Canis lupus familiaris: one gene and its partners. The protein of the gene in region 6 interacts with the protein of the main gene of each other region in a pairwise test. Links are inferred from orthologs where the notes say so. Each region holds a gene or a part of one and is shown on either strand. Other genes may lie near its edges. The genes, in order: CNTNAP2, CHRD, TCEA2, PAK1IP1, CSF2, MEOX2 and FKBP6.

The links.
Region 1: the proteins of MEOX2 (region 6) and CNTNAP2 interact in binary tests that used the Homo sapiens proteins (3 or more experiments, as listed by UniProt). The link is inferred for Canis lupus familiaris from reciprocal best matches to the Homo sapiens genes MEOX2 and CNTNAP2.
Region 2: the proteins of MEOX2 (region 6) and CHRD interact in binary tests that used the Homo sapiens proteins (3 or more experiments, as listed by UniProt). The two-hybrid records come from large-scale screens. The link is inferred for Canis lupus familiaris from reciprocal best matches to the Homo sapiens genes MEOX2 and CHRD.
Region 3: the proteins of MEOX2 (region 6) and TCEA2 interact in binary tests that used the Homo sapiens proteins (3 or more experiments, as listed by UniProt). The two-hybrid records come from large-scale screens. The link is inferred for Canis lupus familiaris from reciprocal best matches to the Homo sapiens genes MEOX2 and TCEA2.
Region 4: the proteins of MEOX2 (region 6) and PAK1IP1 interact in a two-hybrid assay, tested with the Homo sapiens proteins (2 studies listed by BioGRID). The two-hybrid records come from large-scale screens. The link is inferred for Canis lupus familiaris from reciprocal best matches to the Homo sapiens genes MEOX2 and PAK1IP1.
Region 5: the proteins of MEOX2 (region 6) and CSF2 interact in binary tests that used the Homo sapiens proteins (3 or more experiments, as listed by UniProt). The two-hybrid records come from large-scale screens. The link is inferred for Canis lupus familiaris from reciprocal best matches to the Homo sapiens genes MEOX2 and CSF2.
Region 7: the proteins of MEOX2 (region 6) and FKBP6 interact in binary tests that used the Homo sapiens proteins (3 or more experiments, as listed by UniProt). The two-hybrid records come from large-scale screens. The link is inferred for Canis lupus familiaris from reciprocal best matches to the Homo sapiens genes MEOX2 and FKBP6.

Annotation. Positions count from the first base shown.
Region 1 is NC_049237.1:3,928,193-3,932,422, reverse strand, and holds the start of CNTNAP2 (contactin-associated protein-like 2), read left to right. Parts: upstream 1-1,430; 5' UTR 1,431-1,443; coding exon 1,444-1,540; intron 1,541-4,230. UniProt on the Homo sapiens protein: Required for gap junction formation. Required, with CNTNAP1, for radial and longitudinal organization of myelinated axons.
Region 2 is NC_049255.1:17,423,760-17,427,959, forward strand, and holds the start of CHRD (chordin), read left to right. Parts: upstream 1-1,400; coding exon 1,401-1,548; intron 1,549-1,778; coding exon 1,779-1,882; intron 1,883-2,377; coding exon of another isoform or gene 2,378-2,380; coding exon 2,381-2,510; intron 2,511-2,658; coding exon 2,659-2,787; intron 2,788-2,881; coding exon 2,882-2,981; intron 2,982-3,104; coding exon 3,105-3,192; intron 3,193-3,198; exon of another isoform or gene 3,199-3,380; intron 3,381-3,554; coding exon 3,555-3,696; intron 3,697-3,812; coding exon 3,813-3,953; intron 3,954-4,031; coding exon 4,032-4,114; intron 4,115-4,190; coding exon 4,191-4,200. UniProt on the Homo sapiens protein: Dorsalizing factor. Key developmental protein that dorsalizes early vertebrate embryonic tissues by binding to ventralizing TGF-beta family bone morphogenetic proteins (BMPs) and sequestering them in latent complexes.
Region 3 is NC_049245.1:48,355,514-48,357,699, reverse strand, and holds part of TCEA2 (transcription elongation factor A protein 2), read right to left. Parts: coding exon 2,143-2,186; intron 1,275-2,142; coding exon 1,184-1,274; intron 408-1,183; coding exon 277-407; intron 62-276; coding exon 5-61; intron 1-4. UniProt on the Homo sapiens protein: Necessary for efficient RNA polymerase II transcription elongation past template-encoded arresting sites.
Region 4 is NC_049256.1:11,740,265-11,743,764, reverse strand, and holds part of PAK1IP1 (p21-activated protein kinase-interacting protein 1), read right to left. Parts: intron 2,034-3,500; coding exon 1,913-2,033; intron 1,837-1,912; coding exon 1,762-1,836; intron 1,286-1,761; coding exon 1,233-1,285; intron 684-1,232; coding exon 538-683; intron 444-537; coding exon 346-443; intron 1-345. UniProt on the Homo sapiens protein: Negatively regulates the PAK1 kinase. PAK1 is a member of the PAK kinase family, which has been shown to play a positive role in the regulation of signaling pathways involving MAPK8 and RELA.
Region 5 is NC_049232.1:20,337,846-20,341,818, reverse strand, and holds CSF2 (granulocyte-macrophage colony-stimulating factor precursor), read right to left. Parts: upstream 2,796-3,973; 5' UTR 2,790-2,795; coding exon 2,631-2,789; intron 2,549-2,630; coding exon 2,507-2,548; intron 1,817-2,506; coding exon 1,691-1,816; intron 966-1,690; coding exon 858-965; 3' UTR 501-857; downstream 1-500. UniProt on the Homo sapiens protein: Cytokine that stimulates the growth and differentiation of hematopoietic precursor cells from various lineages, including granulocytes, macrophages, eosinophils and erythrocytes.
Region 6 is NC_049235.1:30,321,203-30,324,702, forward strand, and holds part of MEOX2 (homeobox protein MOX-2), read right to left. Parts: intron 2,999-3,500; coding exon 2,826-2,998; intron 1-2,825. UniProt on the Homo sapiens protein: Mesodermal transcription factor that plays a key role in somitogenesis and somitogenesis and limb muscle differentiation. Required during limb development for normal appendicular muscle formation and for the normal regulation of myogenic genes.
Region 7 is NC_049227.1:6,771,471-6,774,970, reverse strand, and holds part of FKBP6 (inactive peptidyl-prolyl cis-trans isomerase FKBP6), read left to right. Parts: intron 1-2,579; coding exon 2,580-2,774; intron 2,775-2,898; coding exon 2,899-3,008; intron 3,009-3,500. UniProt on the Homo sapiens protein: Has an essential role in spermatogenesis. It is required to repress transposable elements and prevent their mobilization, which is essential for the germline integrity.

The DNA of each region.
Region 1 (4,230 bases), on a different chromosome or scaffold from region 6:
TTGCTGGCGGCAGCGTGTGTTTGGTGTGCGTGTGCATATACGCATGAGTGTGAATTAATTGCACATTGAAAACATCTGCATTAGCGGCGTCCGCAGTCCCCGCCGCTCGGGTCGGGATGCTCAGCTCGGTCCCTTGGTGTTAGGACCACTCGGAAGACCTGCTGTCGGGCGCCCGGTGCTGGTTCCCGGGGGGCAGGCCGAGCTCCGGGAGCCTGTACCATCTCCCTCTGCAGGGGAGGGGAGGAGGGAAAGAGCAGGCCTCCGAGCCCAGGGGTTCGGTTTCCCCGCAGCTGGGTGGGGGTGGGGGTGAGGAGAGGGCGGCCGGGGTTGGAGCCGGGCTCCAAGATCACCCCGCAAATTCCCAACTTCAGCACCGCCCCCCGCCCGGGGCAAGGCGCGCGCCCCCTGGCTCGGCGCCCCCCCCCCCCCCGCCCCGGCGCACGGACGCGGGCCCGTGGGTGCCTTCTGGCTCCCGCTCGCGAGCGCAGGGCAGAGGGGTGGTGACAGCCGGAGGGGTACGGCGAGGAGGAGGAGGAGGGGGAGGAGGAGGAGGAGCCGGGGTGGGGACTTGGAGGGGGCGAGGAGGGAGGGCTTCCCCGCCTCGCCCGCCGCCCGGCTGTGCAGGCGCTGCTGGCGGCGGCGTCTCCAGCTCGGTCTGCAGCTCTGTCTGCAGCTCGGTGTGCAGCTCGGTGTGCAGCTCGGTCTCCAGCTCCGTCTGCAGCTCGGTGTGCAATTCGGTGTGCAGCTCGGTGTGCAGCTCGGTGTGCAGCTCGCTCTCCAGCTCCGTCTGCAGATCCGTCTGCAGCTCGGTGTGCAGCTCCGTCTCCGGCCGCTGCTGCGCTGCCCGGGCGCCGGGGCGATGCCGCCGCGCTGAGGCCGAGCGTGCGCCCTCCGTCCCTCCTCCCTGCGCCTCCCCCCTCCCGCCCGCGGGGCTGCGTGCCCCCCGCGCACCGGCTCCCGAGCGCCGAGTGCCGAGCGCGAGCCCGGGGCGCCGGGAAGCCCCTCAGACCCGCCCGCCCGCCCTGCGCCGCTGCATCATCCCCAGCTCCTCTGCTCTGCCTCCGCGTCCTATGCTGATTTTTTATTTTTTATTTTTTTCTCTCCTGCAAGAGAGAGAGGGAGGGAGGGCGGGGTAGGTCCCCTCCTCCGCTCCCCCTCCCTTCCCTTCGCGGTTTGAATTTCTTCCCCCTGGCATTTCACTGGCTCCCGGAGCGAGAGGCAGCAGCCGCGCGGAGGCAAGAGGCAGCCTGCGCCTCCCCGGGCTCCCGGCCCGGGCCGAGCTGGAGCCTGCAGGGGCGCGGGGGGAAGAGGACGCCGCGGGAGGGGCCCTGCCGTCGCCCGCCCCGCCCCGGAGCAGCGCCCGGAGCAGCCCCCGGGGGCACGGCCGGCGCCTCCGCAGCGAGCCCAGCGAGCTCCCCGAGTGCCGCGCGCCGGCCGCCGAGGATGCCGGCGGGCCCGCGAGCCGGCTGCGGGGCGGCGCTGCCGCTCTGGATCGTCGGCAGCATCCTCTGCAGAGCCTGGACCGCCCCGGCCGCGTCCCGTAAGTAGCCTCCGCGAGCGCCCAGCCCGCCCGGGGCCGCGTCGGGGTCCTCCCGGGCCCGCCACCTGCGTGCGCCGGCGTCTCGCAGCCGCTGCCGCAGGGAGCTCCGAAGCCCGGGGCGCCCCGGGGCGCTGGGGGGCTTGCAGGGCGGGGATGGATGGATGGGGGGGGGGGGCGGTGGCGCGAGGGCTCTGGAGGCTGCTGATGCTTCTGGAAAGTTGTCCCCGGCCGTGCAAGGGGGGGTTGGCAACTGCTTGGTTGGAGTGACGAGGCCGGGCGACAGCTTCTTAGGAGTTACTCCTCCACTTCGGGGTGTTTGTTGTTGGAGGGAGTTCGGGGCTTTGGGCTCGGGTAGGTCGCTGCAAGAAAGTGAAGGCTGGGGCAAAAAAAAAAAAAAAAAAAAAGTTTCTTGTTTTTGCATATGGTTTTGACTTCAAGACGCACGGGTTGCGGGGGTGGGGGTGCAAGAGGAGACCATTTGGAGCAGTTGGGGCACCGCGGACTTCCCTTACCCGCCCACCCCCAAAAAGTTAATGACCACTTAGTACTTGCTTCTTGGAAGGGGAAGACAGTGAATGCAGCGTGCTGGCTGAAATTGCTTTGATTTTTGGCACTTTGGGGGTGACACAGCCTAGGACTCGGGGCAGGCAGGGCAAACAGGCCGTGGGGAATGGATGTAGTCATGAAGGCATCCCTAAAGAGTTCTCGGGGAAAGGATGCTGTTCAATATATTCAAGTCTTTGTGTTCCAGCAGGCTCCCCCCCCCCCCTTTTCTTTTTAAAGAAAAGGTTGCTCATGTTTTCATGCGGTTAGCAAGAGTAGAAAGGAATAGAAGATTCCAGCCCATCTTCTGAGTTGCTTCAGAAGTGCATCCTGTGCATCTAGAGAGGAGACGCATGATCGCTCCTTTGATTCAGAAAGAGTTAAACCCTAGAGAGCTTGCCCGTGGGAATCTCAGGCACATAGTGCTGGTCTGTGAGAATGAGCTACTTATTAAAGAATAACGATGGAGATTTTAGTTTGAAGTGTTTTCCATTTAGAAAAAAAAAAAAGTTTAGTGTTTTCCAGAATTCATTGTATGTGTGGTCCTATCTCCGCTGATGAGGTCTTGGGATGCATTGATGCATCTTTATCTATACATTAATATTAATGTTCTTGTTCCGGGGTATACATATTAATAAGAATAACCGTTGAAAAAGGACTTGATAAGTTGTGCTAAAGAATCTACCCCACAATAATGTCATGTGATGAACCGCTATTGCAGTTTTGACATGTTTTCCCAAGTATTGTATTTGCTTCTCTTTTCTTGCAGTATAGGAAGTCACTAAGTGGCAGTGTGTAATGGACTTGAAAAACATTTTTGTAGCTTTTTCACAAACGGACTGAACCTCAAATAAGTGATACATTATTAACATATGTATTCCGGTTTTATATATTTAAACAAATTTTGAAGACAGTGCTCAGTATTAATATTATGTAAATATGTGACTACATCCGGAGAAAAGTAATCTGATGAAATTTCGATTTCCATTTCAAGATCTGGTCATATAGAACTAACTGCCGCTTTTTTTCAGAAATTAAATCGATTATAAATTAATTATATTCACTGATTAATGGCTCTCATATCCAGGATTTTTCCTGAGTTTTATATTGCATCTTTATGTATACATTAATGTGATGGATCCCTCTGAAACATTTGCCATGTATCAAGAATGAATGGCACACATGCAGCCACGGGGTTAATGTTTTTTAAGAATAGAAAAGTTGTTGCCGAGATATATTCCTAGCTTTTACAACTTAGTTAGAATTAGATGTTGGGGAAGAGCAGAGAGTATTACTTTTAAGGTAGTTGACACTTATGTCTGATTAAGATGTATTTATTAGCTCTTGCTCTTATTCTTTATTGTTTAAATATGTAAAATGGCTTAATTGAGATGACTTTTTGTTTCCTTTGAATTTAAATTGTCTGACTAAAACCCAAAGTTGCCCCGCATCCTGGAAATCAATTAAATGATAAGAATGATGTGGACTTTGTTGACTAGAGTGAGCTTCACAAATTCAGTACTTTAAATTATAATTTGACACTTAATGACAATTTGTATTTATATTTATACAACTCTGAGAAAGAGGGAGAGTTATATTCTTAATACTGAAAACGCTCAAAGGAGAAAAAAATCGGTAACTACATGAATCTAAGATAATGAACAACTCAACCAGGAGAGGTCATCACAAGACAAAAAGTAGCATGAAAATCCAAACGTAATGTTTTTATTTGCTACTCATTTTTAAAAATATGACAGTGCTAAAACTTTCTGTCCCTTGATAACTTTTTAACATGATGGACGTTTCTAGAAAATGCAGTTAATATTTTTCATTTGGCAACAGTACCATTTTAAATATATATTTGCTTCTGGCTTATTTCTTTTTCTCTATTATTGAAATACATATAAAAATGGTGTTACTGCTAATACTATGTTTTCTATAGCTGGACTAAAATAAATTTAAAAAGCTCATTTCTAGGATTAAGGAGAAATAGAATCTAATTGCTTGACAGTGCAGATGAGCTGCTGCTGAGCTGATGGAATCATACCACCTCTCTTCTTGCAAATGTGCAGATACAGGACGCATATGTAAAGAGTATATTTTTCTCTTAGGGAGTTGCACTTATTTGAACATACTGGAAAGACGCT
Region 2 (4,200 bases), on a different chromosome or scaffold from region 6:
GTGTCCCTGTCTTAGGAAAGACAGCTGCTGAACCTCCCCCGCAAATACCTCCTGCTGGCCCCCCTCTTCCTTTGGCCCTGGCTCTAGTTCCTTTGCTTTCCCCTCAGTCCCAGTCTCCTCACAGTCTCTGTCCTCAGGGGCCTCCTGGCCTGACCTTGTTCCCATCACCCCCACCCCAGTTCTTCCCCTCCTCCCAAGGATGGGGCTGTCAGCTAAGGAGTATGGCCTAGATCCCGGAATTCTCCAGTTCAGCCAGACAAGATGCCTCCCAAGATTAGGAAGGAGGGTGCTGGGGTGGTTGGGAGGCTGGTGGGTGGTTGGGAGGCTGGTGGGCAAATGGGTGTGGGAGGGGACAGGGAGGCAGTCATGACCAGGCAACCAAGACAAAGGAGGCTGGGGGTGCGGTGGAGAGGCAGAGGGTCCTCAGGGGTGATGGGAAGAGGGTGAGAAAGGATGTCAGGCTGGGGACAATGATGGTTGGATGGGCCTGCGGACAGGTTACCGACAGGGAAAGAAATACTGGCGCAGACTGAAAGGGGACTCTTTCTGGCTAAGTCCCTGTCCTGTGGAAGAGTAGAGTGAGGAAAGATCTCAGCGAAGAGGTAGGGACACAGGCCAGGCAGTGAGTGTGGGTAGTATGGGGTTTGAGAGGTGCTGTGGGCCCACAGTAGGGGAGATCAGTTGACGGGCCTTTCCTGCACGTTGTCATCCTTAAAAGAGGAGTCTTCATCCTTCCGGCAGGAACCGAGCACTAGCCCAGTGGCCGGCCCAGGCCTCAGGCCCAGCCTCTGCCCCTCCCTGGCCTGGGGCTCCCGTCTTGGGCCGGACACGCACCTCCCGGTGCAGCCGCCCTGTGGCCGCCAGCAGCGGGGGGCTCCAGACCCGCCTCTCCTCCCCTCTTCGCGCCCCCTGGTCCCTCCCCTCCCCCTACCCCCTTGGCTCCCCCTTCCCCTCCAGCCCCTCCCTCCTCCCCTGCCCCGTCCCAGCCCCTCCCTCCCCTCCCCCACTCGCGATCCGGGCCGCTGCTGCTGGGCCGGACCCCCCGGGCTCAGCCCGGCCCCTCGCCGAGCCGCCGCCGCCGCCCCGTTTGCTGAGGAGGAGGCCCCCGGCCGGGGCGCCGGGCGCGGGGCATAAAACGGGCCAGAGCCGGCGCCCAGGGCACTAGAGCCGCGTACGGCCCGGGTCAGCGCCCGCCCGCCCGCGCTCCTCCCGGCCGCTCCTCCCGCCCCGCCCGGCCCGGCGCCGACTCCCGCCGCCCGACGAGCCCCTCGCCGCACTGCCCGGGCCCTGGCCCCGGCCCCCTCCCGCCGTACCGCCCCCGGCCCGGCCCTCCTCCCACCTCCCTCCTCCCTCGCCTGCGCCCTCCTCCCTCCCGCCTCCCCAGCTGTCCCGTTCGCGTCATGCCGAGCCTCCCGGCCCCGCCGGCCCCGCTGCTGCTCCTCGGGCTGCTGCTGCTCGGCTGCCGGCCGGCCCACGGCGCCGGCCCCGAGCCCCCGGCGCTGCCCATCCGGCCCGAGAAGGAGCCGCTGCCCATTCGCGGAGCGGCAGGTAGGTGGGCGCCCCGGGGGGCGCGCGGGCAGAGTCCCGCTCGGGGCAAGTCCGCGCCCGCCCGGAGGGGGCGCCGGGCGCAGGTGGCTCAGCGCGGCGGGCGGCCCGGGGGGGCGGGCGGGGGTCGGGAGGCGCGTGGTGCGGGGGCACCCAGGGCCCGGCCGGCGGTGCCCAGGGCGGGCACGCCGCGGGAGTGGGACAGCGGCCGCCAGCCAAGCCCGTCCCCGCAGGCTGCTCCTTCGGCGGGAAGGTCTATGCCTTGGACGAGACGTGGCACCCGGACCTGGGGGAGCCCTTCGGGGTGATGCGCTGCGTGCTGTGCGCCTGCGAGGCGGTGAGTGGATCCAACTGCCGGGGAGCTGGCCGGGGCCCTGGGGGGTGGGGAGCGCTCGGGTCCGGGATGTCGGAGTGGGCTGGCGCTGCTGAGGAGGAGGAAGCGAGCCTGCAGGTATATACACAAATGTATAATATATATTTTTCTTCTGGCGGAGAAAGTGGGGAGGAAGTGCCCCCTTCAAGTCTCAGGTGTTGACTGTTATTGATCACCCACTATGTGTCAGGCTCTTTGCCAGCGGTTTCCTTGGTCTCTCACTTAACTCCTAGAATAATCCTACTAATTACACACTATTACTGCCCCCATTTTCCAGATAGGGACCTTAAGGCCCAGAGAGGTTAAGTAGTTTGTCTAGGGTCACGCAGCTTGTAAGAAGCAGAGCGGTCCTCACTCCATGGGATGACCTCGCTCTGGTCCTGTGGCCCTCCCCCGCTCGCCCTGGGTCCCACCAACTGGCGTCTTGCACTCACTCGCTTTTCCCATCTTCCCTGCAAGCAGCCTCAGTGGGGTCGCCGCGCCAGGGGCCCGGGCAGGGTCAGCTGCAAGAACATCAAACCCGAGTGCCCAACCCTGGCCTGCGTGCAGCCGCGTCAGCTGCCGGGACACTGCTGCCAGACCTGCCCCCAGGGTAAGACCCGCTCGCAGTGAGGGGAGGACCGCAGGGCAGTGATACTTGGTCCTGCGCCACGCGGCTGGGGCGGACGGAGCAGATGGAACCGCCAGCTGGCTCTCCGAGTGCCCAGCCGAAGCCCGTGTTTCCCTTTTGCCCGGCTTAGAGCGCAGCGGTGCCGAGAGGCAGCCGACGGGCCTGGCCTTCGAGTATCCGCGGGACCCAGAGCACCGCAGCTACAGCGACCGCGGGGAGCCGGGCTCCGAGGATCGGGCGCGTGGAGATGGCTACACGGGTAGGCAGGGGCCAGGCAGCAGCTGGATTCGTGGTTGCGGCCCGGGCTGCCTGCTGTAGCGGGTGACGGTACTCGGGACATCTTTTCCTCGCAGACTTCGTGGCGCTGCTGACGGGGCCGAGGTCGCAGGCCGTGGCTCGGGCCCGAGTCTCTCTGCTGCGCTCTAGCTTGCGTTTCTCCATCTCCTACAGGCTGTGAGAAAGGGGAAGGTGGGAGGAGGGGTCAGCTGGGGACTGGGGAAGGAGAGTTGGGAAAGGCTGATGGAGCTGCTCCTGGACTAGGCTCAGAGCCCATGCTCACACGACCTTCATTCCCAGGCTGGACCGCCCTACTCGAATCCGCTTCTCAGACTCTGCTGGCAGCGTCCTGTTTGAACACCCTGCAGCCCCCACTCAAGATGGCCTGGTGAGATGATGCCATTTATGAGTGCTTATCCAGTCTGGGCATTGTACTGAGAGTGTGTTCTGCATTGCTTCCTTTGGTCCTCACAACAGCCCAGTGAGAGGAAGGCACTGACATTATGATGCCCGTTTTACAGATGAGGGAACTGAGGCTCAGTAGCAGAATGTGATTTGCTCAAGGTCACACAGCTAGTAAGTGGTTGAGCCAGGATTTGGACCCCAGCATCTGGTTCCAAGGCCCCTTCTTGAGCTTCCTAGGAGGGCTTGGGGGCCCCTTCCCATAGTCCTTCCTCACCACAGTTGGGCCTCCCTGCTGGCCCGTGTTGCATGCTGTCTAAGTAGGGCCTTCCTATCTCTCTGCTCCAGGTCTGTGGGGTGTGGCGGGCAGTGCCTCGGTTGTCTCTGCGGCTCCTTAGGGCTGAACAGCTGCACGTGGCACTTGTGACACCCACTCACCCTTCAGGGGAGGTCTGGGGGCCTCTCATCCGACACCGGGCCCTGGCTGCAGGTGAGGGGAGCATATGGGTCCCTGGGTGTGAAGTTCTGAGTCTTCTCTATTCCCAGGAATGGAGTGGGCTGAGGAGGGGACTTTCTGATGGGCTCTCCTGGTCCTCCCTCCCCCAGAGACCTTCAGTGCCATCCTGACCCTAGAAGGCCCCCCCCAGCCTGGCATGGGGGGCATTGCCCTACTCACTCTCAGTGACACAGAGGACTCTTTGCATTTTTTGTTGCTCTTCCGTGGACTGCTGGAATCCAGGAGTGGGGGTAAGTGGGATGGGGCAGGCGTGAGGAGAGTAAGGAGAGCACCTCTCTCTGAGGCATCCACATGCGTGGCCATTGCAGGACCAACCCAGGTTCCCTTGCGGCTCCAGTTTCTACACCAGGGGCAGCTACTGCGAGAGCTGCAGGCCAATGCCTCAGTCCAGGTGAGTGAGGGGCTGGCTCTTGCTGCCCCCTGCTCTGGCCTCTTGCTGCACCCACCATACCTTGCTCTGTCTCCAGGAGCCAGGCT
Region 3 (2,186 bases), on a different chromosome or scaffold from region 6:
ATATATTCCTCAATCTGGGCCGACAGGCCCTCGCAGTCCGCACCAACGGCCATATGATCATCTGCAAGAAGCAGCCCTGACTAGCTGCCCCCTGACTCCACCACCACTTCCAAACTGCCCAGCACCTGAGGCCCCAAAGACCCCTGCCCCCACCTGGCTCAGCTGCAAGGGCTGGGGGAGGAGGTCCCCGAGAACCCTCTGAGCTCAGGCCGCTGTGGGCAGGCGGAGTCCAGCCCCTGCGGACTCAGGGTGCAGGGCGGCGGGCGGGGGACTCACGGTCTGTCTGCAGGGCGGCGGTCAGCATCTCGCGGCACTTGTTGCGCACGGCGTCACAGGTGACGGGCACGGGGGGAAACGTGGTGATCCTTGGGGCCGACGGCACCCTGGGCAGCTCTGGCCTCTTGCGGCTGGAGAAAGACGGGCCCGCGCGGGCCACGGGCACCCCCGTGACACACCGGTCCCCAGAAAGCCCCAAACCCTGCATCTCCCACCCGGATGCTGCCCATGCTCCTGCCCCGAGGGGACTGCCCAGTGGGCTGGAGGCAGGAACACCCACTGGGCGGGGCGTACCCCCGGATGGGGGCACCACTGGGGCAGCCTCGCCCGCAGGGGCCTCCGCCCTCCAGGCGGCCAGGACCAGGCCATCTCAGGGGAGGCAGGCGGCCCCACCCGGCGTGGATGCCTCCCGACGGGCTGGGCACTGCTGGCAAGCCGCCTGCTGACCAGGCCGCAGGTACCCAGTCCTCCCCTCCCCGCACACCCCTGCGTCTCGTGACCCTGTGACCCCCACACGACGGGGAGCAGGGGCCTCCTGGAGGGAACCTCCGCAGCCGGTAGATGAAGCCCTAGCCCAGCACAAGCACACGCTGCGCGCGGAGCTTGGCCCCTGCTGCCCTGCCACCCCTGCCCACGGCAAAGCAGCCTACGGCCACACCCACCCCGGAGCACCCCCGGAGCACCCCCAGAGCACCCCGTCTCCATGACTGCCTGCCCGGAGCACTGACGGGGAGAGGGTTCAGCCACGCGGGACACCAGCTGAGGGGGCTCGGCCAGAGCGGAATGAGAACCACGCCCAGGAGGTGGAACTGTGGGGTGGCCGTGGGGGCCCCCGGGGCTCTCTGTGCGGCCAGGACCCGCCACCTGCCGAGCAGGAGGGTGTGCACCTGCCCCCCAGATGCGCTACCTGGGATCCTTGGCCTCAGGGGCCTCCTTGGAGGACGATGTGGGCGGAGGCCCGGCCCTCCTCTGCTCCCTGGCTTTGGCATCTGAAGCATCTGCAGGTGCCAGGAAAGGGAGCGCTGGCTAGTGGGGCTGGGCCAGGGAGGGGAACAGATCTCCACCGGCCCCGGGACCTGGCGGTCGAGCCTTGCACACTGGGGCCCCATCCTCCCTCCTCAGAAGGGCCCAGGACAGCCCCCAGGCCCTTTTCTACCCCCGCACAGGCCACCTGTGAGGCCTCCCTGGGGTCTACCGTCCTGGCAGAAAGGACGGCCACCTGCCCAAAGTGACCCTGGTGCAGAGCCCCGAGTGACAGCCCCCCCACAGGCAGCGCTTGAAACCCGGACAAAGCCCAGGTGCGGTCACTCCCCAGCTGGGCCTTGGGGGTCACAGCGAGCGGCCGTCCGCTGAGCACATCCCCCACGAGGCTCCTGAAACCCTGGTCCGCGCTGGGGACCGTCCCACAGGAGGCGAAGCAGCCCCCACACGACCAGAATAAACACGCTTGTGCACACGTGGGCTGACAGCCACCCCGACTAGAGTCCCACGACAAACACCCCATGGGCTTGGACGGAGCCAGGAAGGCGCAGGAAGGGAGGGGACCCCCAGGGCCCCAAGGTGGGCCTGCCCGCAGCCGGCCGTGTCCCCTTCTTCCCCCGCACCCCTCGGCCTCAGCAGGGCCTCCTCACCTGCGCCAGCTCCCTCCAGGCCCCAGCCGCCCTGCTACTACCTTCAACTTCCTTTTCTCCTGCTCCCGGTGGGTCCCCTCTGCTCCCAGCCACCCCCCGCCTTCCCGGACCAGCTTGGGGCCCGGCGGCCCGGGCGCGGGGACGGCACCGCCAGCACCAGCACGCCGCTGACCGGCGAGGGCCAGCACTCCCCGGATGCCCTGCCCGGGCGGTCAGCCCCGCCGCCGGCCCGCACCCAGGAGCTTCTTCCAGGACTTGATGAGCGACTTGGCCAGGGCG
Region 4 (3,500 bases), on a different chromosome or scaffold from region 6:
GAAGTGGGAATAAGTAAAAGAGAGGTCCTGGCAAAGCTCAACATTGTTTAATTTTTTTGTTCCTCTTCAAATATGGTTGATTTCAAGCCCCAAGATTAATAATATTACTGGAAAAATATCTTGTGCAAATCACTAGCCCTGATACCAATATCCCCACTTTTGTACAACTTAAGGCCAAGAAGACAACATTTCCACCATCCTCTCCCCAAAAATATTTATGTAGAAATGTCTATCTCTGCAGTTGTTCATGAGAAAACATGGACACTGTTTTATGAAACTACTGCCTACATTAACACTTAATGAAAACTACACATAGATGCACATAGAGACTGGCAAAGAAAATACCTGTTTTCATGAGCTTTAAATTCACAGACACACGTTAGTGAATCACAGTCAAAAAACCTTACAACTTCTTCATCTCCAGCCACTGCAAGGACAGACTCCTATAAGAGGGAAAAAGAATATCCAGAATGTCATCAACAAGTCCAACCATCACCATATACACTAAAATCCCATCACTGATTTCTGGTCACTTACTGAAAGAAATGTAACAGAAGATATTCTCTTTTCATTTGTGATGGTGCCACTAACAGACGCAGTGTCTAGCTGATAGACATTTATTTTATTCAGGATGACAACTATGTATCTCTCTCCTCTTGGGGACCATTCAACTATGTGAGCATCTGTAAGTTAAAAACACTAAGCTTTTTTAGTTCATAAACAAGAAAAAGAAATGATCAGAGTAATTATTAAAAAAGTAAATGATTGCACTGTGCATTTTCACATCCACTATCCCTTCACAACAAACTTCGGTACATATTTTACAAGTTAAGTTTTAGAAAATGAACTGGATTCAAAGAATCATTAAGTCATAGACCTGGTAGGTGACAGTCATGACGAGAATTCCCATCTAAAATGGGAAAGGAAAGGAGAGCACCTAGGTGGCTCAGTCCTTTCGGCTCAGGTCCTGGGATCGAGTCCCACATCAGGCTCCCTGCTCAGGACAGTCTGCTTCTCCCTCTCCCTGCTGCGTGTACAGACTCTCTCTCTCAAATAAATAAAAACCTCTAAGACAGATAGAAAAATAAATAAATAAAATGGGAAAGGAAAGTAACCTAAATTATTGCCCCAGGAGGTAACCACCATCAAGTAGGGAAATAAAAGTATATGTGGATGTACATACACTCATATTCCATGAAGTTATAAAAAACATTCCAAATAAAAGTACTCACTCTGTTTTATATTTTTTATGAATGCTGATCTTCCTTCCACAAGATTCCATGTTCTGCAAAATAAGCAGCTCACTTACAGATCACTTACACTAGGCGTAAAGGTAAGCATAATGAAGACTTACTCAAACAACAATTGACTACACAGGAAGCTAATTAGAATATGTTTCTTACAGCAACACTGGAAATATTTACTATCAAGCAAGAGTAACTCATCCATTCCCGTACTCTCTAATATATTTAAAATGTTTAACATTATTTTCAAAAGATTTTACCTCCTAAAACATTTGTTTTTAGGACCACCGTCCTCTTCACAGCTTACGATTGGGATATACTATGTACGAGTGAACACAGCCTGTCATTTTTTTCTCTACCGTTGTGAAAAGGTTCAATACCTTTCAGTAGCTGACGGCAATGAGACAAGACAGAAAACGAATCTATTATACTAAAATATACTGATGGTAGCTTCCTGTTGTCCTTAGAGAACAAAGACCACAACTCGGAAAAGATGCTCTCAGCATTAACGACTTACCTTAACGTCTTATCTGTACCCACAGAGAGGGCCAACTTGCCAGACGGATGAATAGAAAGGAAGGTCACGTGTCCTCTAAAAGGAAACCAACAGTTAGACCCCAACTTCACTGGCACCTAGAGACCGCCAGTGGGGAAGGGGCCTGACTCACTTGTGAGCTTTAATCGACTTCAGGCACTCCCACTTCTTTGCATCCCACACACAAATGAGTCCATCTTCTGCCCCACTGATTAAGTGCCTGTTGCCGTAGAATTTCAGGCAAGTTATTGTGCCTGTGGAAAAACCAAGACAGGCAGACTTAATGTTCATTTTGAATGCAAACTCCATTTCTGGTTTGAAGGCTACACTGTGGTAAAAGTAAAACATCTAACGTCTTAATATTACTGAAATATACCTTAAAGTCTTAGGTGAAGAAATTTCTTTTACAAAAACAAACAGGCAAGAACTCCACAAGGAATGAAGAAAAATAGGAACTGTACTTCATCCCCATCCTAGCTCCTTCTCAGTCAGTCCTTTTCCAACTGTGGAACACCTTGCCAGTGGCTTCAGGCAGACCAGGTCTAACTATTTCTTCCACACCCAAGGGGGAGAGAAGACTTTCTTGTGTGAACTGGGATTGGATGAGACAGAATGGAAAAAGAACGCATGTTGAATTCGATCAAAGCCTTGCTTCTGTTGGAAAGGGAAACGCTTGTCAAAGTAGCTAAGGACCTAAGACAGACACTGACTACTCCAAATTCACTGCTAGAACCAATGCGTGGCAGTCTCATCTGGCTTTAATTGCAGGAAGCCAACATGACGGAGTGTCCCCAAGCTAAGGGCACGTCTAACCGGGGCTACGATTTTCAGTTCTTCCTTTCCATTGCCCCTTTCCTGGAACACGTGTTAAGCCTCCATTCTTTGTCCCTGGGGAAATACAGTAAAAACAGCATGGAGTTCAATATTGAAAAAAACACACCTATTCGGCCTACTAGTTGATCCTACCACTACCCTGGACAACTTCACCAGCGCCGAGGAAAACCCAGGCATGACCTGAGCATTACCAACCCCTGACCTCCTCAACTCCAGTGGCCTCGCCTCCCTCTCTGGTTCAGTCCCTGATGCGTACACCCCGGGACATAGTTACCACCTAGAGCTGCTTGCACATCACAACTCGTGAACTCTTACGAACCTCATCCCTGCCCACAACCTCATCTCTCACCAACCCTACCAGGCCCCCTTCACTCACAGTTTACCTGCTTTATTGTTTCAGAGATCTATAGACCATTCAGAGCACCCCCCCCCCACCTTCTGTAGCCCAACAATCTCTTCTTTCACCAAAAATCCTGAATTCCTTTGTAAATCAAGCCTCCTACTACACATACCAAGTACTTTTCTGCTCCCTACAAAAATGTCTGAGCTTAATGCAAACGGATGTTACTCGATTCATAGCCTCCAGCTTCAACAGAGAAGACTCTCATCAGTCTTCTGCTTGCTCTTGCTCAGCATCTCTCTCACATCCTGGGTGCCAGCACGTTGTCAAGCCTGCAGGGCCCCTCCCTCCCATTCAATCCCTAACCTCCTCTTCTCAAGGGCCACCCAGGACCTGGCCCATCTACTTCTCCAGTCACCCCAACCTCCATTTTCACCTTCTCATCATACATATTTACTTGCACACAACGGTTAAAAACATGGGCTCTAGACCTAGGTTTGAGTTCTAGTTCTATTATTTTGTGACCACTGGCAAGTCAAGTTAACAT
Region 5 (3,973 bases), on a different chromosome or scaffold from region 6:
GACTCAATCCTGGGTCTCCAGGATCACACCCCAGGCTGTAGGCGGCGCTAAACCACTGCACCACCAGGGCTGCCCACAGGCCCAGGTTTCTGAAGGGCACAGGTGTTTTGCCTCACACTAGGGCAGGCCCATTCAGCCAGTGGCCAGCCAAGCCCCAGGAACCCCCAAGCCTTCTCAGGAAGTATGATGGCCTTTTACTGGAGCAAAGTTCCCACTGACCAGGTGCCTTAGACTTCCAAGTGAACCTGAAAGCCTCTTTTTGCAGTTGGAGCCCTGAGTATCCAGGGAAGCAGATCTAGGTGTGTGTGATGCAGCACCCAGGCCAACTCTTCCCATTCATCTGCTCTGCTCTGCCATTGGTGCCTCTCAGACAGTGGCCAACCTGCTAGAGCACCCTGCCCCCTCCCCAACCTTATGGCTCCTCTCCACCCATTGCTCTGTGGGGAGTACCATCAGCATTTGCTCAGGGTTGAAAACAAACTGGAAAGTGTACAAATAAGAACAGGCTTTTAATAATTTATTATAATAGTAAAATGTCTTGAATAAATACAGAGTATGATCTTAAATAAATAAATAAATAAATATTAAAATACATAAATATATAAATAAATATTACTGATCCCTGCCAGTATAAAACATTCCCCGCTCCCCATACCAAGCTGGTATCCGGGCAGCATGGCCCAGAGCAAGTCCATGCCCCCTCTACTGCCCTGGTCCACCCGGTGGTCCCTCAAAGGTGAAGATCCTGAGTTTCAGCAATCCATGGGTAGAAAGGCAGTGACTTGTGAGGTATGAGGTATGCTCTCAGGGCTGGCTTCTGGCTGGACTGGGCTGGCTCCTGGCTGGACTGGTCTGCCTCACTTCTTGACTGGTTTCCAGCAGTCAAAGGGGATGTTAAACAGAAAATCCTTCAGGTTCTCTTTGAAACTTTTGAAGTTAATATTCTGGGTTGCACAGGGAGATTCCTTAAAAAAATAAATAAGAACAATAAAACTTTGAGTCCAGGTGTGAGTGGGTAATGGGGGAGCACCAGGGTTTCTGCACTGCCCCTTAGAACTCAGAGGCCAGAAGGCCTATTTGGAGCCTGCCTGCTGACCTAGGTCAGATGATAGGTTGCCACCCAGTGTCACCCAAAGGGTACACAACTCTGTTAATAGCAGCCAGGCCCTGGGGACTGACAAAATGCCAACCCGAGGCTGGCCTGCTGGGCTGGGCAGTTGGGTCAACACCTCTTTTGCTCTTAGGCCAGCTGTCTAGAAAGGGGAGGAGTTAAGGCCACAAACCTCACTCTCCACAGGAAAGGAGTGTTTGGGGCCTTTGTTCAGTCTGGGTATGACTCCTTCCTTGCCCCATGCAATTAGGCACCTCACAAGGAGCCAGAGAGGTGGCACTTGGGCCCAGGAATATACCCTGGACCTTAGTTTCCTTGGGTTTGCCTCACCTTTGACCTCATTAATGATAGGACAGAAGTGTCTCCCACTAGGGACTGTATAGGCATCTGGAGCTCCATGGCTTTAACTCCCAGGGATGAAAATGGGCAGGGAAGCTTGCTCTGCTAATCATTACAAATTTGCTGACACCAAAACCCTTTGGGGTCTTTAACGGCTACAGCCAAAGGTCCCTCCTTATCCAGTCCTCCACCCTCCTAGACCAAAATTTTTCAGCTTTAGGACCTGACATGGGCACTCACCGGGGTAGGGGGACAGTGCTGCTTATAGTGATTGGCCATCATGGTTAAGGGATTCTTGAGGCTGGTGAGGCTGCCCTGCAGGCCCTCCTTGTACAGCTGTAGGCGGGTCTCCAGGCATGTTGGCCCCTGTGGAGAATGTCCATTCCTTGGTGAGTAGTGGACAGGTGCCCTCTGGTGGGCATATGACACTCTTCCTGTCACTTTTTCCTGTCCTCAGCCCTGTCCCCCAAGAGCAGAACTTGGGAGGGGCACAGGATGATGCTAGGTCCAGTCATACACGCAAAAATGAATCTGCACCATTCAGCTCAGGCCACCCTCAGCTAGCACAACTACATTCCCTGGCATCTCAAGAGGGTCCCAGCCCCCACGAGAGGAGATCCCTATACCCTCACCATTCAGGGAGAAGGTAGCAAGGGTGGGGCATCTCCTCCAACCTGCTATGTGAACAAGGCTTGTTCTTGAAATCTCTGTGCCTCTCTGTAACCAACACTCTGTCTCCACCGAGATTAGTCTCATGAGTCCCCCAAGCTCACAGCCCTGTGTCTTGAAGTAATTCCCACTTCACCTACCTGTCCCCTGGTGACCCCTGGCCCCTTGAATGCTAGGTCTGTCCATGGCTGCTCAGTTAATGAAGGAGTTCACATGACTGCTACAGGCGCAAGGCCAGTGGCCTCCCGAGGCCCCTCTGGACAGCCAGCTGACTGGAGAAAGTGGACTGACCACCCTATGAGAGTCCATGTGAAATGGAGCCACCCCCCCCCTCACCCCCCCACGGTAGAGGTCTCTGGGAAGGCATGTCAGAGAGAAGCATCTTACCTCAGGGTCAAACACTTCAGAGACCACTTTTACTGCTTTATTCTGTAGAAAAACAAAATACCGTTTTATTAAGCTGACAGGCAGGGCCAATCCAGGCACAGACTGCAGTCCCTCCCTCACTCACCATCACAGCAGTCACGTCATTACTGTTGTTCAAAAGGCTCAGGGCTTCCTGGATGGCATCCACGTGCTGAGAGGGCCGAGTGACAAGGGTGGGTGAGCGGGTGGGTGCAGAGATGCTGCAGACCACAGTGCCCAAGAAAAGCAGGTTCTGCAGCCACATCCTCCTGAGGACTTTAGCCTTTCTCTCTGAGTACTGGGCTCACTGGCAAAAGAGCTCTTATATACACAGTTAGAGGAAATGATTAATGGTGACCACAAAACGCCAGAGAGGCGGGGGAACTACCTGACCTGTGGAATCTCCTGGCCCTTATCACACATGGGAACGGTGAGCCTTTCCTCCAGGTGGTCAGGCTCAGGGGTTTTCATTAATGAGCCCTTCCAAGAATTGGCAGTGCATCCGCCTGCCTTGTTGAGCACTCTCCAGCCCTCCCTGGGTAGTTTGGCCAGTGAGGCTGCCCCCTCCCTCTGAGGGGCCTCTGGGCACAGCGTGGACTTCCTGGCCTGGAGTGGCCAGGGAGGGGCCTGGGAGATACTAGATCGAGCTCCTACACCCACGCTCTCCACCCTGCCTCTAATCGCAAGAAATCTTTGGGCTGGCTGTGCCCACCCTGGGGCCCATTCCAACACCAGCCTCCCCTTCTCCTCCTAGATCCCTCTCCTCTGGCCACAGCGAGAGATCTGAGTAGGAAGAAGACATTCACAGGCCTGTACACTGTCCACCTAGGCAGAATCCAGCCAAATGGCATAGTCCTGCGACAGCTCCCAGCAAAGATCCAGAGTAGTGGCAAGCTCTTCCCATCAGGGACCTCTGCTGCATAGCCCCTGTGTGCAGGGAGAATGACAAGTGTGTACATATCACATCCAGCCAGCAGGATTGTAGAGTGTTCCTCATGGTAAGGTCCCATCTGACAGCAATAGTCAGAGTTTTCACAGCTGTGTTCAACCCCCAAGCTGCAGGGGTGAGTTGGGGCTCTCAGTGGGAGTAGTGAGGGCCCTCAGCTCAAGTTCTGGCTCTAGTATCACCTTGCTAAGTGACTCTTCCCCCTGAGCTCTGTGAATCTCACCACTCTCTGTAGTCCAGACCACTCTTGTGAGCTAGGTACCGTGCTCCTATGTGTAGCCCCTGGCTATCCCCCCACCATTCGGGAAAAAGGTAGCAGGGTGGGGCATCCCCCCCCCCCAACCTGGTGGGCACATCTCACAGGTACGAGGAGCTTCGGGGAACAACGGCTTCTCGAACAAGGTCTTCCAAGCTTAATTTTTACATGGCCCCTGCCCCAGCACATCTCCAGGTCAGAGGCCTCTTCTGTGGAACAGGAACTGCTTCTAAAAAAGCCACAGGCT
Region 6 (3,500 bases):
GTTTTCCTTCCTCTGATTGACAGTTGTGTTTTTCAGTTTATGCTAGAAATTCTTTCATATTCATTATAACACATAAACCTGAGTAGAAGCAAGAGAAGTTAGCTTTAATTTCCATTTTGTGACTTAGGGAGATTGTTACTTGCCTAAGAATCCAAATTCCAATGGAAAATCTAGTTGTTCTATTCAAATTTTTATCATAATAATTCAATTTTTCTCACTGTCACATAGTGGCCCTCTGAAGACTTAACTTTGACTAGGAATTTAGATTCCACATGTATGCATCTCCTTTTCATATTAATCTGAAAAACTGGAAATAAAGATTTATAGGATAAAAAAATCTTCACGATATAAAATTTCAATTCTTTCAAAATCCAATTATATCTCAAGATTTGTTTGTTTGTTTTTTCCCCTATGACACTATAGTTAGATCATTTCGGTAACGGCCTCCAGCAAATGTCACCTTCCTTCCATATATCCATTCCTTAAATGGTCTCCTTCTACATTGACACTGTGCTTGGTCATATGACTTGCTTTAGACAATGAGTCATCAGTAAATATGAGATAACGAGAGTCCTTGAAAGCCTTGGTCCATTGGAGTTTTTCTTCTATTCCTGACAATGCTTCTATCCCCATTTGAAAAGTCTCAGAGAGCCTATTAGAAGAAAATGAAACCACATACAACAGAGACAAATGTCCCAGCTGAGACTATTTAAACCAACCAGCTCTTCAAACCCAAACCCGCCACGTGACTACAGCTCTATGGGAGATTTAGGTAAGGTAAGCAGCTTAACCATCCAACTGAGCCCAGTCAAAATCCCCGACCCACAAAACTGTGAGCAAATTGAATGTCGGTTATTAGTTGAAACCACTATGATTTTTGAATGTTTGTTACATAGTCAAGGCTAACTGATAACAAAATTGAAAAGGGACCTTTGATAAACAAAAACAAAGATTAGAATTGTATGTGTGTGTATTTTGCTTAAAATTACATATCATCCTTTTCCATAAATGACAACTCAGGAAGACATATCCAAAATACCTAAAAAATTGCCAGACCAAATTTATAGAATTGCTTTTCTAAAAGAAATTATTTTAAACCATAAGGGAAACTTCTGCTTTATAATCAGATAATCACAGGTAACCAAAGCCATCCCCAGAATAGCAAGCACAGAATCTTCACATTCCCTCTTGGCTAAGAGTATAGTACTGCATCCCATTATTTCTATAGCTTGGAAACAAGTCTTAGCTTGTTTCCTTTTTGTACCATAGAAAACATGGTTGCATTTCCTAGAATTCACTGTCTATGGATAAGAACATTAAAATATGTAATTCTTTCCCTCCCTTCTTTTTTTATCTGCTCCCAGTTTAAAAAAAATGAAAATAAAACAGATGTCCAATAATGTAGATTTTGGATTCTCCTTTCCAGCATGCCAAATGTTGTACACTTATGGAGAGGAGTTTGTCTGTGAAGTTCAAGGGAAAGAAAATGTTGTGCTTCACAACTTAGGCACTAGTCATAATATTTAATAAAATATAAACTGCCAATAAATAAAACCACATAAAAGTGTCTCTCTCTATATTCCCAATCCCCAGAAATACCCTACAAAAGCTGAAATCCAGAAATTAACAGAAGGAAAGCAGATGATTTAAGAAACTGGATAAAATAACTTGCTCTCCTAAGATAGTATTCATACGTCCACACCCTGTTGGTATTTCTTTGGTTCTGATGGGATCCCTGGAGGAGGTGCATACAGTGAAAGGAAATGAGACTCTAGTCCTAGGAGTGCCAATCATAACTGCACTGTCCATAAAGATGTTTGGATTTGCCTTTCAGGAATGTTTTCCTAAAGATTAGCAACTGTTAACCATCAGTAAGCTAGATTCTCCCAGGGCAAATCAGAATCCATAAAAAGAATGCACTGGGAGCACTACTGGAGCAAGTAAAATCCAAGAAAGGACCTTTTAGGTTTTATCAACTGGAGTCCACAGATCGTTCATAATTGCAAAGTGTTCTCTAAATGAGTCAATGTCAGAAATTTAAATTTTTGAGACCAATATCAGTTCAAAAATATTTGGGAAATATTTACGAAAGACCTATGGGCCCTTGCTCCCATCATTTCCCAGCCCCCCTTGAACTTAAGTGGCACCACGGATGATTTCCGGACCTTGGAGTATAAATGGAAGTGACATGGGTCATTTCCGGGTGAAAACATTTAAAGGTCAGTGCATGAACCTCCACCTCTTTCTTACCTCCTGTGGTTACCAAGGACACCACATGTTGAGATGCCAGAGAGTCAGCCTGGGTCCGTGAGTGACTGATTGTTTATAATGCTGAACTTGTAAAGTTAGTATGGAGAGTGAGCAAATAGTGAACTTTTTTGTTATGTCATGGAGGTCCGGGGGTTAATGTGTTACAGCAACATAGCAAACCCTGTCCTGAGCAATAGAGGAAACTAATATGGGGTTGCTGGCTTTCTATTATACCAAAATAAGGAGATTTTAAAATATAAGCAAAAAAGAATTGCTCACTATATGCCATCATTATATACAAGAAATACTATTTTAAACCAAAATATATAGGAAGGACACAAATACAGAATAAAGAATGATACCTTAAACTGAATAAATGTAGTTTTCCTTAAAAACACTGCTATCTTATCCTTAATTTTGCCATTTTGCCGTGCCAAAACTTCATCATGGAACAGAACACCTATCTTACAAATGGCATTTAAGAACCACAGATCTAGATATTTCAAAAATGGCGAGAGAAGATTGTTGACTCAACACAATTAAAAATACCATATCACAACAATGTCCAACTTTACCTGTCTTTCAGTGAGATCCAGATTCACTGCTATCTCATATCGCCTCAGTCTGGTCAGATAATTATGATGGGCAAATTCTGCTTCAAGTTCTCTGATTTGCTCTTTGGTAAAAGCTGTCCTTTCCTTCCTGGGTTTGCTATTGACTTCTGACTTGTAATTTCCTTCCTGGGAATCTGGGGGGAATGTAAGAGAGAATTAAATTGACTTTATTCATTCAAATGCATACAATCATATCATTCATACCAGAAGCATTTACTGAATAACTACTTTTTCAGGTACTATGTTAGATATGGAGAAACAGAGAGCAAAGACAGAAGACTGATCTCACAACAGGATAAGATACATTTCTTACTTTTTCGATCTGCTCTCCTGTGACTCAGCCTAATTGGCAAAGTGTCTAATATTCTTTCAAAATATGAACAAAAAATGTATTTGCTCTTAATATGATAAAAAGATAAATAAATAAACCACCTCTAGAAAACAATTTCGGATGTAAAATTGCGTTTAATAAGTTGTTTAATATGTATACTTGGGATCTAGGTATGATTGAACTCTTTAATTCCTAAGAAAAAAAGTGTTGACTTAATATGTGAATATTTAAGCAATTTGAATGTTTAGCAACTGGACCATAAAAGTCAGTTCAAGGTCAGACAAAGCATACATAAAAGTGTGTGT
Region 7 (3,500 bases), on a different chromosome or scaffold from region 6:
AAGAAACCCTATACGTGTTGGCAGTTACACTCCATTCCCCCAGCATGCCCTGGTAGCCCCTATGTTACTTTGTGTCTATGGATTTGCCTATTCCTGGACATTTTATGTAAAATAGAATCATCAAATGTATCGTGCTTCATGCCTGGCTTCTTTCAGTTAGCAAAATATTCTCAAGGTTCATTCATGTTGTAATGTGTATTAATACTCCATTCTGTCTTAAAATTTTTTATCTTTTAATTTTGGTAAAAACATCACCTAAAATTTATCATTTTAATTATTTTCAGATATACAGGCCAGTGGCATTAAGTGCATTCAGTGTTGTACAGGCATCACCACTACCCTTTTTAGAACTTTATCCTCATCCCACACATTGTTTAGCCATTAAACAAAACTCCCCATTCTCCCCCTTCCTCCAGCCCCAGTAATCTTTTTTTTTTTTTTTTTAAGATTTTTTAAAATTCATGAGATGGTGGGAGTGGGGCGCAGAGACACAGGCAGAGGGAGAAGCAGGCTCCATGCAGGGAGCCTGATGTGGGACTCGATCCCAGGTCTCCAGGATCACACCCTGGGCTGAAGGCGGTGCTAAACCACTGAGCCACCTGGGCTGCTCAGCCCCGGTAATCTTTATTCTACTTCATGCCTCTAGGAATTTGTCTGTGTACCATGGGTATTCATATAAATGGAGTCCTACAGTATTTGTTTTTGTCATTGGCTTCTTTCACTTAGCATAACATTTTCAAGTTTCATCCATGTAGCATATACCAAATTTTTCATTTTAAGATTGAGCAGTATGTCATGTGGATCCTTCCATGTTTTGTTCATTCATCAGTTACTGGACATTTGGATTTTTTCCTCTTTTTGGCTATTATGATTAATGTTGCTTTTCACATTGGTGTACAAGTTCTTGTGTAGACCTAGGTTTTCATTTTCCTTGGGTTTGTACATAGGAGCACAAGTGCTAGGTCCTGTAGTAACTGTCATGTTTAATTTTTTGAAATACTGCCAAACCGTTTTCCATAGTTGCTGCAGCATTTCACATTGCCACCAATGGTAGGATGGTTCCAATTACTCCACAACCTCACCAACACTTATTTTCCATCTTTCAAATTCTAGCCATATCTCGTGGGTGTGAAGCGATATCTCATAAGTTTGATTTACATTTCCTGATAACTAATGTGTTGATTAGCTATTTGCGTGTCTTCGGAAAAATGTCAATTCATATCCTTTGCCCATTTTTAATTGGGTTTTCTGTATTTTTATTCTTATAAAAGTTCGTTTATATTGTCTGTATACTAGGTTTTTTTAAAATATGATTTACAAATATCTTCTCCCATTCTGTGAGTTGTGTTTTCATGTTTTTTTTCTTTTCAAGAATGTAGAATATCTTTTTATTAAAAAATACAGAATTATCTGTAGGTTTGGACAATGACAGTAGTAAACCATTATGTTATCAGCTTAAACCAGTAAATGATGGTTATAGTGACTTTTCTTCATTTTTTTTCATTTTCTTGATAACATCCTTCATTTTTTTAATAATAAATTTATTTTTTTATTTGTGTTCAGATAGCATCCTTCAAAACACAAAAGTTTTTACTTTTGAAGTCCGTTTAATCTCCTTTTGGAGATTTGTGCTTTTCATGTAATTTCTAAGAAGCCATTATCAAATCCAAAGTCATGAAGATTTAAACCTAATGTTTTAAGAGTGATACAGTTTAGCTCCTACATTTAGGTCTATGATCCATTTTGTTAACTTTTTATGTAGCTTGAAGTGGGAATCCAACCTCACTCTTTCACAGGTTGACATCCAGTTGTCCCAGCACCTTTCATTGAAAATACTACTCTTTCCTGTTGAATGGGGCTGGTCCCCTTCTTGAAAATCCATTGACTACAGAAGTATGGGTTTGTTTTGGATTTTCAATCTGCATTGTCAGTTCTGTTCTATTGACCTATGTGTTTCCTTATGCTGTTACCACACTGGCTTTGCTACTATAGGTTTGTAAATAAGCTTTAAAATTTGAAAGTGTGAGTCTTCCATTTTCTCTTCTTAAATATTTTGGCTATTTGGCATCCCTTGATTTTGCATGCAAGTTTTCAGGTCAGCTTGACCATTTCTGCAAAAAAGGCTATTGAAATTTTGGTAGTGGTTGCTTTGAATCTGTAGATCAGTTGGAGACTATTGCCTTCTTAACTATATTAAGTCTTTTGATCTATGAACATGGGATGTATTTCTTTTTTTGGGGGGGGGATGTATTTCCATTTATTTAGATCATCTTTAATTTCTTCAGTATTTTGTAGTTTTTAACATACAATTCTTGCAATTTAAATTTATTGTGGCTTCCTTTCATGCTATTGTAAATGGAATTGTAGTCTTCATTTTTGGATTGTTTACTGCTAGATTAGAGACATGCAACTAACTCTCATATATTGAAATTGTGTCCTGCAACTTGTTGAGCTCAGTTTTGGTTTTGGTTTTGTTTTTTGTTTTTTGTTTTTTACCTCTAGTATTTTTTTTCTGGATTCTTAGGGCTTTCAATAATATTATGTACTTCATCTTGAGTATTTGTCTTCCTTCTTCACAGGCCTTGTTGCTTCTTCACCGACGATCAGCTCCTCCTGAAGAGCAGCACCTGGTGGAAGCAGCTAAGCTTCTTGTTCTCCTTAACCTATCCTTTACATACCTGAGGCTGGAGAGACCCACCACGGCTCTGCGCTATGGAGAACAGGCTCTGCTCATTGACCAGAAGAATGCTAAGGCCCTCTTCCGGTGTGGACAGGTGTGTTGGAGGCCAGGGACTTGAGAACAAGCACCCAAGAAAAGAAAGCAGTGATGTTCAACTTGGGCACTAGAAAAATGCTCTTTCCTAACCAAGTATGTTTTTAAAACTCTGTCCTTTGCAGGCCTGTCTTTTCATGACTGAGTATGAGAAGGCCCGAGATTTTCTAGTGCGAGCCCAGAAGGAACAACCCTTCAATCATGATATCAATAATGAACTGAAGAAACTGGCTAGGTGAGACCTGTTTGCAGAAGTGCAAACCAAAAAAAGAGGCCAGTGACCATCTGGGAAAAGGATGGTTTGGAAATGTTGCCTAGCATGTGTTGGGAGGCAGCGCCCCCTAGAGCTGGCTTTATGAAGCGCTAAACCAACAGCTCCCAGTGAGAAGGTGGGGCAGACCTCCAGACTAAGTCGGGATCATTTCCCATCTCCCTGTTCCCCACTGCCTATCCCCAAAGTAAGCATCCTAAAATAGGTGGGCCCATGTAATTTGTAAAAAGGGTCTTGTTCTTAAGCTACTCCTCCCTACTTGTCACCAGTTGAAAACCACTGTTCTTGGGATGCCTGGGTGGCTCAGTGGTTGGATGCCTGCCTTTGGCTGAGGTTGTTATCACAGGATCCAGGATCGAGTCCCACATCAGGATCCCTGCGAGGAGCCTGCTTCTCCCTCTGCCTAGGTCTCTGCTTCTCTCTCTCTGTCTCTCATGAATAAATAAATAAATCTAA